2 linked regions of the Drosophila melanogaster genome follow. The protein of the gene in region 1 interacts with the protein of each later gene in a pairwise test. Each region holds a gene or a part of one and is shown on either strand. Other genes may lie near its edges. The genes, in order: Ldsdh1 and Jabba.

The links.
Region 2: the proteins of Ldsdh1 (region 1) and Jabba interact in a protein complementation assay, tested with the Drosophila melanogaster proteins (one study listed by BioGRID).

What each region holds. Positions count from the first base shown.
Region 1 is NC_004354.4:8,077,585-8,083,259, reverse strand, and holds Ldsdh1 (lipid droplet subset dehydrogenase 1), read left to right. Parts: upstream 1-1,654; 5' UTR 1,655-1,810; coding exon 1,811-1,830; intron 1,831-3,337; coding exon 3,338-3,833; intron 3,834-3,907; coding exon 3,908-4,090; intron 4,091-4,361; coding exon 4,362-4,625; 3' UTR 4,626-4,910; downstream 4,911-5,675. Other genes in the region: CG1571 (uncharacterized protein), read right to left, coding at 5,088-5,516, 5,580-5,675.
Region 2 is NT_033778.4:18,756,402-18,763,143, reverse strand, and holds Jabba (jabba), read left to right. Parts: upstream 1-2,061; 5' UTR 2,062-2,279; intron 2,280-3,047; exon of another isoform or gene 3,048-3,236; intron 3,237-3,521; 5' UTR 3,522-3,531; coding exon 3,532-3,757; intron 3,758-3,850; coding exon 3,851-4,200; intron 4,201-4,263; coding exon 4,264-4,503; intron 4,504-4,560; coding exon 4,561-4,693; coding exon of another isoform or gene 4,694-4,707; exon of another isoform or gene 4,708-4,839; intron 4,840-4,859; coding exon 4,860-4,919; intron 4,920-5,017; coding exon 5,018-5,113; intron 5,114-5,166; coding exon of another isoform or gene 5,167-5,215; coding exon 5,216-5,521; intron 5,522-5,621; coding exon 5,622-5,696; coding exon of another isoform or gene 5,697-5,700; intron 5,701-5,755; coding exon 5,756-5,952; 3' UTR 5,953-6,070; downstream 6,071-6,742. Other genes in the region: Cyp12b2 (cytochrome P450 12b2), read right to left, coding at 6,107-6,709.

The sequences.
Region 1 (5,675 bases):
CGGCGAACCGGAATGAGTGAGTGCAGCATGTCAGCTATAAGGTGTCCGTCCAAGTTCGAGTAGCCGGAAAGGAAGATGCTGCCCTTGATGGAGAGGCGAGCAGATAATGTTAATCAACTTGACTTGGCATTACATCTCAATATTAATATACAAAATTTTTATATTTTACTAAGCTTTCAGTATTCAAACTAGAACGATTTAACACAAGTAATAAATGCTAATGCACTTACTTTGGAATTGCAAACAAAGTATCACCCATGACGTTGACCATAAATAAGTAACAGATATAGCAGATATAGTTAAGATCAGATTAATCGCCCTTTATAGATCTGGTTGCAATTTAAAAGTTTGAGAAACTATTGTGAATATATTAGTAGCACAAGTCTCTAATTAGTCATTAGTGTTGTCAGCTGTAAAATATATATATGTGCCATATAAAAAAAAACCAGTCGTTTATGAATAATTAAATTCTTAGCAATATACTTAATTATATAGAAGCGCCTGTTTGCTATTGCGGATGAACGTTGAACGTTAGTTATATCGCCGATGAAGTGATCACTCATATAAATGTATTACCAATAACCCAAGGAATCCCATTCTTATCTTCATGGGTTGGGCTCTACTCGCCCGACTCTCTATATGGTGAGAGTCCCATACTTTGACCCAATGTTCCAATCGAAAAATAATGCATCATGCTGAGCCGGCAAATGGCAAGGAGCACTATCTAATCGCAATCTGATTCCTATGTCTCAGGGGTCAAGTAGTGCACAGCTAAGACCCTACCCTCTAACCATCATACCCTACCCTGATAAAAAAAAAAAAAAACTAAATCTTTGAACCAAATAATACCTCTCATTGGCGTACATTGTACATTGGTTCTGGTTTCCTGAGCTTTTTTTGTTTTTTTTTTGCCGTAGGCCAAAGATCATCCTGCCAGTGCTTATCTTCGCATATGATTTGGTCAAAAAAAAAATAAGTGAATGAAACCGATCTGTTTAGGCGAAGCTTTTGTGTGTTAATATCGGCGCCGTAGATCTACCTTGGCATTAGCACCCCCTTTGGCACTTTTTTCACCTTTGGCTTTCGCACACCGCATCTCTGTATCTCATCTCTCTGAGTATCGAAGTATCTGTGTATCTAAGTATCTGGGTATCTGAACGATCTGGGTCGTAAACTCCGCCTGGTTGTGTGTATTTTTATATATGACACATATATATCTTATTTATGGCCGACTAGGGTATTATTACCGGACCCCGGATTAACAAACAGGCATTTGCTATCTAACAAAAATAAATACATACATAGAAATATGCATTTCATACCGGCTGAACCGTTGCACATCCGCGGATATCGTTCGTTCCATATAGATCGGATCGGATCGGATCGCATCGCATTGGATTGTAATGGTATAAATCGGAATGACAGTGCCATTGAACATATGTCGTAGTTGTGTTTATAGAACGCTCTGCCTGCGTCGCTGCCGCGGTCGACGTCAACGCTGCCGGCAGAGTGTATCTACAAGTAGTGCCGGTGTGCCAGTGTACCAGTACCATATAGTATTTGAAAACCCAGTGGTGTGTGTGTGTGTGTGTGAGTGTGTGTGTGTGAGTAGATTTGAAATAATAACTTATAAGACCGGCGTGGCGGTACGGTGCGTAGTGTTTACTTTGCTCAATATTCAGTCCGAATTCGTTAACAGCCGCTAACGGTTTGCTCCGGCTGCTCCGATCCCTTCCTATATACGTATATATATATATAGATATATATATACATTAACGATCCTCGCAGGATTTAGCCAAATACACGAAACATGTCGAAAGTGACGCAAAGGTGGGTAATCACCGAAACAGAAGTGCTACCCACCAGTTGGTAACAAATCAAGAAAAGAAAAAGAAAAAAAAAAAACCTAAGAGAACTATCTTATCAACGGAACATTTGGAACAAAGTGTAGTGCAATATTTTAATCGCCAGCGATAAGATCACCTTATCGACTTGGGTCTACAACCAGTGGCCCGGAGGAGCAGGGTTCAATGAGCACCAAATACTAACTAATACTATTCAGCTCGATGGAATAATTGGCCCAGAGATCGCATTATAGATGACCAAACCATCCATATGAATGATGATGGATGATCGCTTCAACCTTTGACCAACCATTGTGCAATCTGTATCCGCTCACTTAAGCGCCATTCACCTTCGTTCGACTTAGTTTAACTATATCAAATTGCCCTGACCAAAGATCGCCTTACACTTATTGACCGGGCAAAGGATCATTTGAAATTTTTTTTTTTCGGTGAAATAGTTTTCACACGCTTGAGAGGACATAAGTGCAGAGGATCGCAGTTCAAATACTATGCTACTTTCCAAAATGGAAAATATTTTCCAATATTGTGGGCTGTTCGGAACGATTTTGGTCCGATTCCGAACGTCGTACTATAAATAGCATTCCAGAAGTAGCATTCCGATAAGAGCAGTCTCCATGGCAGTGAAATGCGCAAGTGAAACGGAGCGATAGAAAGTGCAAGGGGGGCGAGAGCGAGAGAGAGAGGGACATGGTAATGATGGTCAAGTCGATGGCACGATCTGCTAGAATATATAGCAAGTATATATATATACATATATGCATATACTATCGCACTACGTAATGCATGGGCGAAAACACATTGAAACCACACCAAAAAAAAAAAAAAAAAAACCAAAAAGCTGGAAACAGTTCGGCATTATCAAGATCTCACGCAGCTGCAGCCAGCGAAATATAATTACAGAACATGAGCTGGGAGAAAACACGATGACCCACGTTGGAACCACCCAAACCCGCCCATTGCCGCCCCCCTTTTTTTTTTTTTGGCTATTTCCGCATTTCCCACGAAAAACCGAAACACATTACATGACATCATTGATAAGTAAATAACAGAAATGTGTCATAAAAAATGGAATGATACAAAGAAAATTTTTCATTTAAGCGACTTGTTTTCTCCCAGTGTAGCCGCAAAAAGTGAGGATGGCAAAGGTCATGCGATTGTCGCTGGCTGTAAGATAAGGCATATACACGCACATACTTGCCATCCAAATGACTGTGGGTCATGCAAGAGTTGGAGGGTTCCGGATTAATCCCATTTGAACTCCACTCCGCTTGATAATTATGATGATGCCCAAGATCAAGAGTCAATGTAGAGAAAGCACGCACTTGCCACAAAAAACCATAGCATTATGTGGTTTACTTTATTATTAAAAAGCAAATATATATATATTTAATGTAGTTTACAGAAACATGCTCACAATTAAGCCTTAAATTTACCCTAATATTTGGTAATAATATCGTACATATTTCTTTCAGTGCTGACAACGGCAGCAACGCCAACAGCAATGACATCTACAACATTGTCCTGCTGGTGGTTGACATCGTGATGCTGATCGTCAAATTCTGGCTCGCCATTGCGGAAGCTATCGTTGGACTTTTCCGCGCGCCGCCGCTCGATGATGTCAATGGCAAGGTGGTCCTGATCACCGGCACTGGCCACGGCATGGGCAAGGAGATGGCACTGCAGTACGCCAAGCTGGGCGCCACCATTCTCTGCTGGGATGTCAATGAGCAGACCAATAACCAGACCGTCAAGGAGATCAAGAACAATGGTGGCAAGGCCTTTGGCTACGTTTGCAATGTGACCAAGCGCGAGGAACTGATCGAACTGGCCCAGAAGGTGCGCAAGGAGCATGGATTCATTCATGTGGTGGTCAACAATGCCGGCATCATGCCCTGCCATCCACTGCTGGAGCATACCGAGAACGAGATTCGTCTAATGTACGAGATCAATGTGCTCTCTCACTTCTGGGTAAGTTGATGTGATAGTGTTAATATCGATGTTATCTCAATAGTAACATTGACGACCATTCACTTCATTCACAGATCATCCAGGCGTTCCTGCCCGATATGATTGAGCGCAACGAGGGCAGCATTGTGGCCCTATCCTCATGCGCCGGACTCTTTGGACTGATCAATCTGGTGCCCTATTGCGGCACCAAGTTCGCCGTTCGTGGCTACATGGCCGCCCTCGTTGAGGAGCTGCGTCAGAAGAACCCACAGAACAACGTAAGTACCAACTCACTCACACTTTTATTAGCATTTAGTTGCTCATTATAATCCAGTTGAGTGTCCAATTAAAAGGTTATTAGGTGGTTAAGAGTAGCTAATTAAAAATAATATATTATAGCTCGTACCAAGCAGCCCGTTTAATTCTCACCGTTAGGCGAGCATCTTGGTTTCACACTACGATTTTATTATCTCATATGGATGAGACCTTTTCCCATAATAACTCCATGAATTCGAAGTTTAATATAACCCACCTACTTTCCGCTTGCAGGTCAAGCTGACTACCATATATCCGTATATGATCGATACGGGTCTGTGCAAGAATCCCCGCTACCGATTCCCCAATCTGTTCAAGCTGATACCCGCCGATGTGGCCGCCGGATCGATCATCGAGGCTCAGCGCCAGGGATTGGAGGAGGCGGCGATTCCACGACATTTCGTGGCCGCTGAGAAGATCGGTCGCCTGATTCCACGCAAGGCGATGCGATTGGTCAACGATTTCTTCGACACGGGTGTGGATACCGATAAGTCCTAGAGCTCAGCTCCAAGTGGCCAAATTGAACACCCCATTATCCATCTAAAAGTGGATGATTTAGCTTTAATCTTCTCCCCCCCCATTTGTTCACTTTATTTTGCTTATTTTTTTTTTCCCAGTGTACTATTAACTCCATTTAATTGCTGTGTAGAGAAGTGCAACTAATGCTATATGAAAAGTGAATTTAACGAACTAAATTTAGCTGTTAGAAAGGTTGTTACTTAATTAAAAAGTCGCACGTAGTCGGGCTAATTGTGTTGGTCGTAATAAAGGTCTCCAAAGAGTACTCCATAATGTGATTAAATGTGGTTTGACCCGCTAGTCATGGTCTTAATGGTGCTCATCGTATGGGGTTTCATCTGTTTCCCGCAGCTTTGGCAAACAGTTTGTATTTAAATGATAACTTTATTTCAATTTGCACATCATATCAACATATCCAATAGTTCATATTCATATTTTTTTTTACTGGTGCTTCATGGATCCTTGCGAAGCTCTTGGCTCTCCCGAAGTCCTCTTGTCATAGTTTCCCGACGTCTGAACCTTTCGCTCGGGCTTGGTGTATACGACGGGCTCACCCTGAAGCTTTTCGTCAGCCGGATTCCATTCCTCAAAGACCGTACGCTCCATGATCACCTGCCGCTTGGAACGCTTCCTCTCCACACTGAGTATGATGTCCTGGAATTCGGTGATGGCCGTGCGAAATTCTTCATCGCCCTCGATCATCATCACAAACTGATCGGGATTGTCGGGATCCAGCTCGAGAGTGGGCGCCAGTTGTTGCTGCTTCCGGACACGTTCCTCCTCGGCCATTTGAAGCGTTTTCCGCTTTAGCCTAACTTCATCATAGCGAGCCTCCAGTAGTTTACACCGCACGATCTCCCGCTCGAACATCTTCCAGAAGATATAGTGTTAATTAGAGAGAGGGGATTACATTACAGAATGTTCAATTCTTACGGCGGCCATGAGTGCCTTCTCCTTGCCAGTTGCCTGTCGCATGGACTCATCCAGTGTCATGATGTGAGTGTCGCCGTTTTTCAGGCCAATGGCCAG
Region 2 (6,742 bases), on another chromosome or scaffold:
GTGTGTGGACCGGAAGCGCAGCGGCATGCAAAGACGCCATAACTGCCATGACGAAACAGCAGCTGAAAATGAGGGGGGGGGGGTGGCGGTTTGGGTGGTGGAATGGCCGTCGTAAAGTCCGCGGAACCTGTGCGTTTCAGAGGTTATCGGTCCTAACCCCTTGCTGACATGGCGCCAAAATCGGAGCGAGGGAGGTTCGATAAGTTCCGTGCTGCAAACGGATATCAGAAAGCTAACATTTACTTTTAGTTCAAAGTTTTTTATTCGTTTGGCTAACTGTTAATATTTTATTTACAGTCTATTGATTAATTATTTCGAAGAGAACACACATTTGTCAAGGGCAAACTTTTTATAGACATCTTTGACCTTAAAGATTTTTCTATTGCGTACATGCCTTAACATTTGAACAAGTGTTATCCCACAAATGCGGACAAATTAAAGATTTTATATATATAGGTCAGTAGACCATGATTTATGTATGTGTTTGTAAATGTTTCTTAATGCCCTATTTGTCTGCTTTTCTTCACAAACAACTCGAGCACCCCATTGTCGTGGCAAAAATTTATGCGCAAACTAATTTAGCCAAAGCCGCACTCAACCCGCATAAAAATAGCTGTCCAAATTGTGCGGCGTTGGCTTTTGAGAGCGACTCAGCTGCTCAAGTGGCAGCATTCAGTGGAGCCCGGCCATATACTCGTGGCTATATACCACACGCCAGCATCAAAGGGAGTTGGTCGGGCCCAAAGGATAAGGGATAAGGGATAACGGATTACGTGAGGTGGGCTGCTTCAAAATACAAAAATGTAAAACACACACACGCAGCTGTCACAGGTGGAATGTTTCTAGTCAGCCAGGTGTGTTTGGTGGCTTATCAATGGCAATCGTGGGAGCCAAACATTTTTATTTCGCCAAAAACACTTACACATCCTGACAAGCACACACACAGTTCGCTGAATTTGTGTGAGTGAGGTCACCAAGACAAGTGCATACGAATTTCGCGACTACATCCTCCTGCCTGCGCGTTTTTCCGAGTTTCCTTGCTGGCTGCTGGTACTCCTCGTGATTTTCCTATTCTCCCATTCAGGACTTGCCCTGCCGTTTTGCATTTGCAGTTGGGCAAATAATGTTTCACAACACACTGCACACGGTTAAACTTTTCCTGCTTTTATATCCCCAGCTAGTTGCGGCACACACACGCGAGATGAATGGGGTTTTTCAGCGGGCGCAAATAGAGGAGCATGAACGGAGTCCTTCCAGAAATTCGCGTGGGAAACGGGCGGAGCGGGAAGTCCCTTTGATTTTACACAGAAACGCGCGTTTCGAGTGAGCGGGACGGAGAAGCGCTCCGCAATGCCGTCCGCTGCCGTGGAGAATTTTCGCGCAACTGAATGCTTGTCGAGAGCTTTTCCGCGCTTGCTGGGCTTCGAGAGCTTTTTGCGCCGAGCGAAAACGAAATTGAGTGCAATTCGGTCGAGTGGTTGCTCAAAAGAACCGAAAGGACGAAGGGTCCTTCAAACAGGATAAACAAGCCAGGTAAACACGATTGTCATTGGCGACAGGCTTTAAAATCTATAGCGACAAGCTTCGCTTTGCTGATCCTATATTCATGGCAAATTCATTTAATTTAATCTCCTTAAATAAGAATTACTTAACATTTAACATTAACGTTAATTGAAAAGTAAAATGGGTAGAGTATAACTTACACTTAATTATGTGTACTTTCACAGAGTTAATAAAAGTACTAATTTCGAAATATTTGAATATTTGGTTATTCAGACTGATCAGTTTTAAAATTTTTAAATCGAAATACCAGCTAGTTGTAAATTTCCAATCATAATTGGGAGATCTTAAATGCAGATCTGCAATAGCAGATAACCATCGTCACTTAGACTTCCTATAAACAATACCTTTGCAAGATTATAATAATAAGAGAGGCATTCGGTGAGACCTCAAACGAGAGATAACGCTTTTGACAGTTGACTCGACTGCTCGTTTTGGAGCCGAATCAAAGCCGATTGCCCGGCTTAAGTCGATTGCGGTTCGAGAACTCGCGATTTCAGAACCACTGATCAGTCAGTCGGGAGTTGTGCAGCCGGTAGATCGTTTCTCCAGGATTTCAAGGCAGATTTGGAAGAAAGTTCTGCCAAAGTGTTTTTTATTATATCCAAAAATCTTCTAGTAACTGCATTTTTTGGGCAAACTATCGGCTGGTACGAGAGTTTAAAAGAAGGCCTATAGAATTGCACAAAATAGCGTGAGAAAGGCAATCGAAAAGACCGGTAAGTGAGAATTCCGCATAAGTCGGTTTGTGCGGCCGCTCCGCTGATTCGCGATCGCCATTATGTCAGGAAAACGAAACTACCGTTATCAGCTCGATTCCCCCCAGTGCCTTGCACTTTATACTTTCGCTCTGCTTCCCCTACTTTTCCTTCGCCCCCTTTCACATCGTATTCCTCACTCGCCGAAGAGCAGACTTCTGCACTTCCATCTCGTTACACTGGCTAACAGGGTTTCGCTACGATTCATTCGGAGTGCGGCATGTGTGTGGCAGAATGTTTTTAATTTTGCATTTTATGAGAGAGGAAGATACACTTTGATCCCGAGAACAAATTTTTGTGATAATTTTATTATTTTTGTTATTTTATTGAGAATTCGCGTATTTTCTGGGCGATGCAATAAGCGCTAAAAATATCAAATAATTGAGTGTTATGCTTGTGTAACTTTATATTATACGCCAGATTTCTTTCATCGCGCCAAGAATGAGAATGGATGCTATCAATTTCGAAAGTAATTTATGTGTTCACAAGTGCGAGCAAACGATGGGCAAGCCTAGTGCTCGCGATAGGTATTATTTCAAATCACCAATAACCTAACTAGTAACCTCACCCACACAACGATTGCTCCGAGACGGAGATCTCCCGTAATCAACGATTGGAACTATTCCGCCGGCTTGAATCGTACAAAGTTCGGATTGTCTAATTATAAAATACTTAATTTGTTTTGATTTTTGTTGCTGATTCTGCAGCTAGGTCTACTTAATTTCATTTGCCGTTAGTCATTGTCGGCGGAAGGCATTAGAGCTATACGTACATATAGCGACTATAAGTTTTGCCAGACGGCAGCAACAAAAAACAAAAGCAATCCTCCATCCGAAACTCAAACAAGTGCGAAGTACCGATCCGCTCCGATAAGCGATCCACTTTCGGTTCCTCTGGCAGACGACCTCGGATCGTCAGGTTTATTAATAAGGCATTACCGTATTCTTCGCTCGTTCAGCACCTAATCACGCGGCAATCCCAAATTTATGGCAGCTCTAGTAATTGCCGAGAATTAAATTGCCATTAAGTCGAATTATAGACAAGATTGCATATTAAAGCCACAATGTGCACTAAAAAAGTGCATATATTGACATATAACAGCGAAAAATTATACAGATGAAACGTCCTAGCAGATATACCGCACTACTTACAGTTGCAGTTGCTTATCTCACTTGAATACATCCAATAAAATTTGCTTTTTAGAATCAGCAAGATGGCACAGGAGACGAAGACCGTGGCGACAGCCAAAGACCAGAACCAACGAGACCATATCGACGAGGAAGAAGTCATCGAACTCCACGAGTCACGCAGCTTTTACGATCGGGTTCGCGAACAGGCGGAGCGATTTGCTAGCACACGAGTTGGCCAATTCGTGATCGAACGGGCTGATAAAGCGCTGGCCATGATCGAGGATACTGCCAAGTGGAGTCTTCCGCAAGGTGAGCAAATATCAAATATTATATCCTAAAATTAATATGAAAACCTTAACTAAAACCTTAACCTAACTAAATTTGCCTCCCTCTTGTATATAGACAAGTCTTCTGCTCCCTTGGAACGCCCCCTGCCTTGGGCTCCATTCCTGATGCTCATCGTCCTGCTGCGGCTCACACGCATTTGGTTATCGGTTGGCGCCCTGATGATCGGCAATGGTCCAATATCTCCTACGGATATGGTATACTTTATACAGACTAGACGCCGCAAGCTGCGGGCCATTCGGGTTCATGGCCTAAAGGTGATGAGACGGCGCCAGCAGGAGGTGTCCTATGGCAGTGGCAAGGGTATGACCCAGAAGCTCAATCAGTGGTTTTCCCGAGCCATGTGCCGTCCAGGAGTTCAGCAGGATAGCAGCAGTCGCCGGGTGTTTGTCCGCCATTCGGAGCAGGTCAGTTTGAGGCTTTGAAAATTTCGATTAACTAATAAATGTATCTCCAAATTGATTGTACAGGGTTTAAGCAATTTCGTAGTTAAGCGCCCTCGAGAGGAGGACTGCAATGCCGATGCCGACCTGACCATCGACCAAATGCTGGCCAAGTATGCCAACGAGAATTCCGAAGATGACTCCGACTTTGTGCCCAATGAGGAGGAGGAGGAGGAGGAAAGCAGCAGCAGCAGCGGGGAAAGCGAATCCGAATCCGGCTCCAGCGAAGGAATAAGCAGCGGCGAGGTGGATGAGGTTGTCAGCCAGGTGGGTTACACAATAGCCTCTTACTAGTGCTCCAATTAATCAAAATGATACCTTAAGCCCAAGCAGAAGTCAGCTGGAGCGGTGGTGGAAAACGGAGTGCACAAGGCCGAGGAGAAGGAAAATGATAAGGGAAAACTGAACATAACGACAACCAGCAATGGCAACAACGACAAGGAGCAGGCGGATGTTGGTAATGGACATTGAACATTATTAAGACTCTCGTGCGTAGCCCCCTAAGTCTAGGTTAACTCCAAGTATCGATTATCGAATTAAGCGTTGATGAAAACTGAACTTGAAACGTTGTCATGAAATACAATACAATACCGATACAACAATACACTTAGTCATTTCCGTAGATCATCCATTCATTTGCAGGCCCGAAAACGAAAAATTCAAAATTAGCCACCAAGCCACTTGTGAGTTTGGCCCCCTCGTTTCATTTCCTTCCCGTTGCCCTGACCTCGAATCTCTCTCTGTTTCTCCCCCATTCCCAACCGAATGATAACGATCGCAGCCGCTGCCCAGCCGGATGAGGAGTGGAAATCTTCGCCAGGACACATGAGCGCAGCCGTGATGAATACCCGACTGTACAACAATACTGCCGCTGCAGGTAACTCACGCGAGAATCGCTCCACGTCGTCCCAATTAACATTTTAACGTTAGTATTCTGTCTCTGTTTCTGTTACTCCGTGCATGTGTTCAAACACAACAGTCACCACTGATCCTGATCCAGAACCTGACACTCAGCCTGAACCCGAATTCCCATCCGAACCTACATCCCAGTCCCAACCCTCAACCGAAGAAACAGATGACGATGCAGAGGATAGTTGCAGCTCCAGTGGCAGTAATCAAACCGGGATAACTGTCTACCAGGCCGATGAAACCCAGCCAGATACCCAAGCTGAACAGATCCTTGAGATTGCCGCCACGTTAACTGATTCACATCTATCCAACTATCCCACTGTTGACACCCTAACTCCTGCCACCTCCTCCGAAGACATATTCTATAGCCCTATTGGTGTGTGCTCTTCCATCTTAGTCTCTTCTGCTTGCTAACTTGCCGACATAATATTTTTAAGCATTTTTAATATCTTAAATACTTATCATTCCCCATTTAGGTTCACCCACTTGCTTCAATACTAGCCTAGGAACCCAGGCTCTCCTCAAGAGGGCCAGCATTCAATCCGTCCTGGGCAAGTAATTAAAGAGCATTACCTGTTTGTAAACTGGCTAATATCACTGTGTTCCTCAGCCCACTCCACGCCCACGACGGAGATGAGGGATCAACCCATTGAAGAGGCAAACAACTCGGTGCCCCAAACACCTGAGACCGAGAAAACTCAGCCCCAAACTCCCAAGGAAGTCCATAATCAGAATCAGCAGCAAAATCAACAGCAGCGCCAACGCAATCATCCCCACCAACGTTATCGTGGACGCAATCGGCGCTAGTCCTTGGAAGGATATCCTTGTCATATCGTTTGAATTTCCTCCTAGCCAGCTAGCCGTTCTTCTATTTTTTTTACATTCCCATATTGTTAGTGAATACTGCGAGTAAATCTCTGAACTTAACCGATAGTCTGTACTTGAGCTTAGGATAAACATATCACATTAAGTCACCGACTGGTTCCAATTTAAAGCGAATGTCACCGCAGGGTGATAAGATAATGGTGCTTTCATATTCAATCGGAGTTTCGGGCAGCCAGCTGACCTTGTAGCTTCGCAAGAGTCGCACCAGCAGCGTTTCGATCTCCAGCTCGGCAATCCTTTTGCCAATACAGGTTCGAGGTCCAAAGCCAAAGGGCAGGTATACGAAGGGGTTACGGGTTCGGGCCGCTGGACAAGCCTGGATATCCGGAGCTAAGTCGGACTTAAGCCAGCGTTCCGGTATGAACTCAGAGCTCTGAGCAAAGTATTTATCGTCGTTGGACAGCTCCAGGACACCCATCAGAACTCCAGTGCCACGTGGCACCTGATAGCCCGATAGCACTAGATCCTTGGGTGTTATGCGAAAATTTCCCGGCGTAATAGATGTGATGCGCAGACCCTCCTTGATGCAGGCTCTCAGATAAGGCATGTTTTTGGTATTTTGATCCGTCAACGAGTCCTTGGTGGTGGGCAATATACGGAGTAGCTCCCGACGCAGTTTCTCTTGCTTTGATGGATTGCGAGCCAAGTGATAGAGGATAGTCAGACAAGCTGATGAAGTCTAAAAGAAGGCATTTAGTATTGAATCGTACCA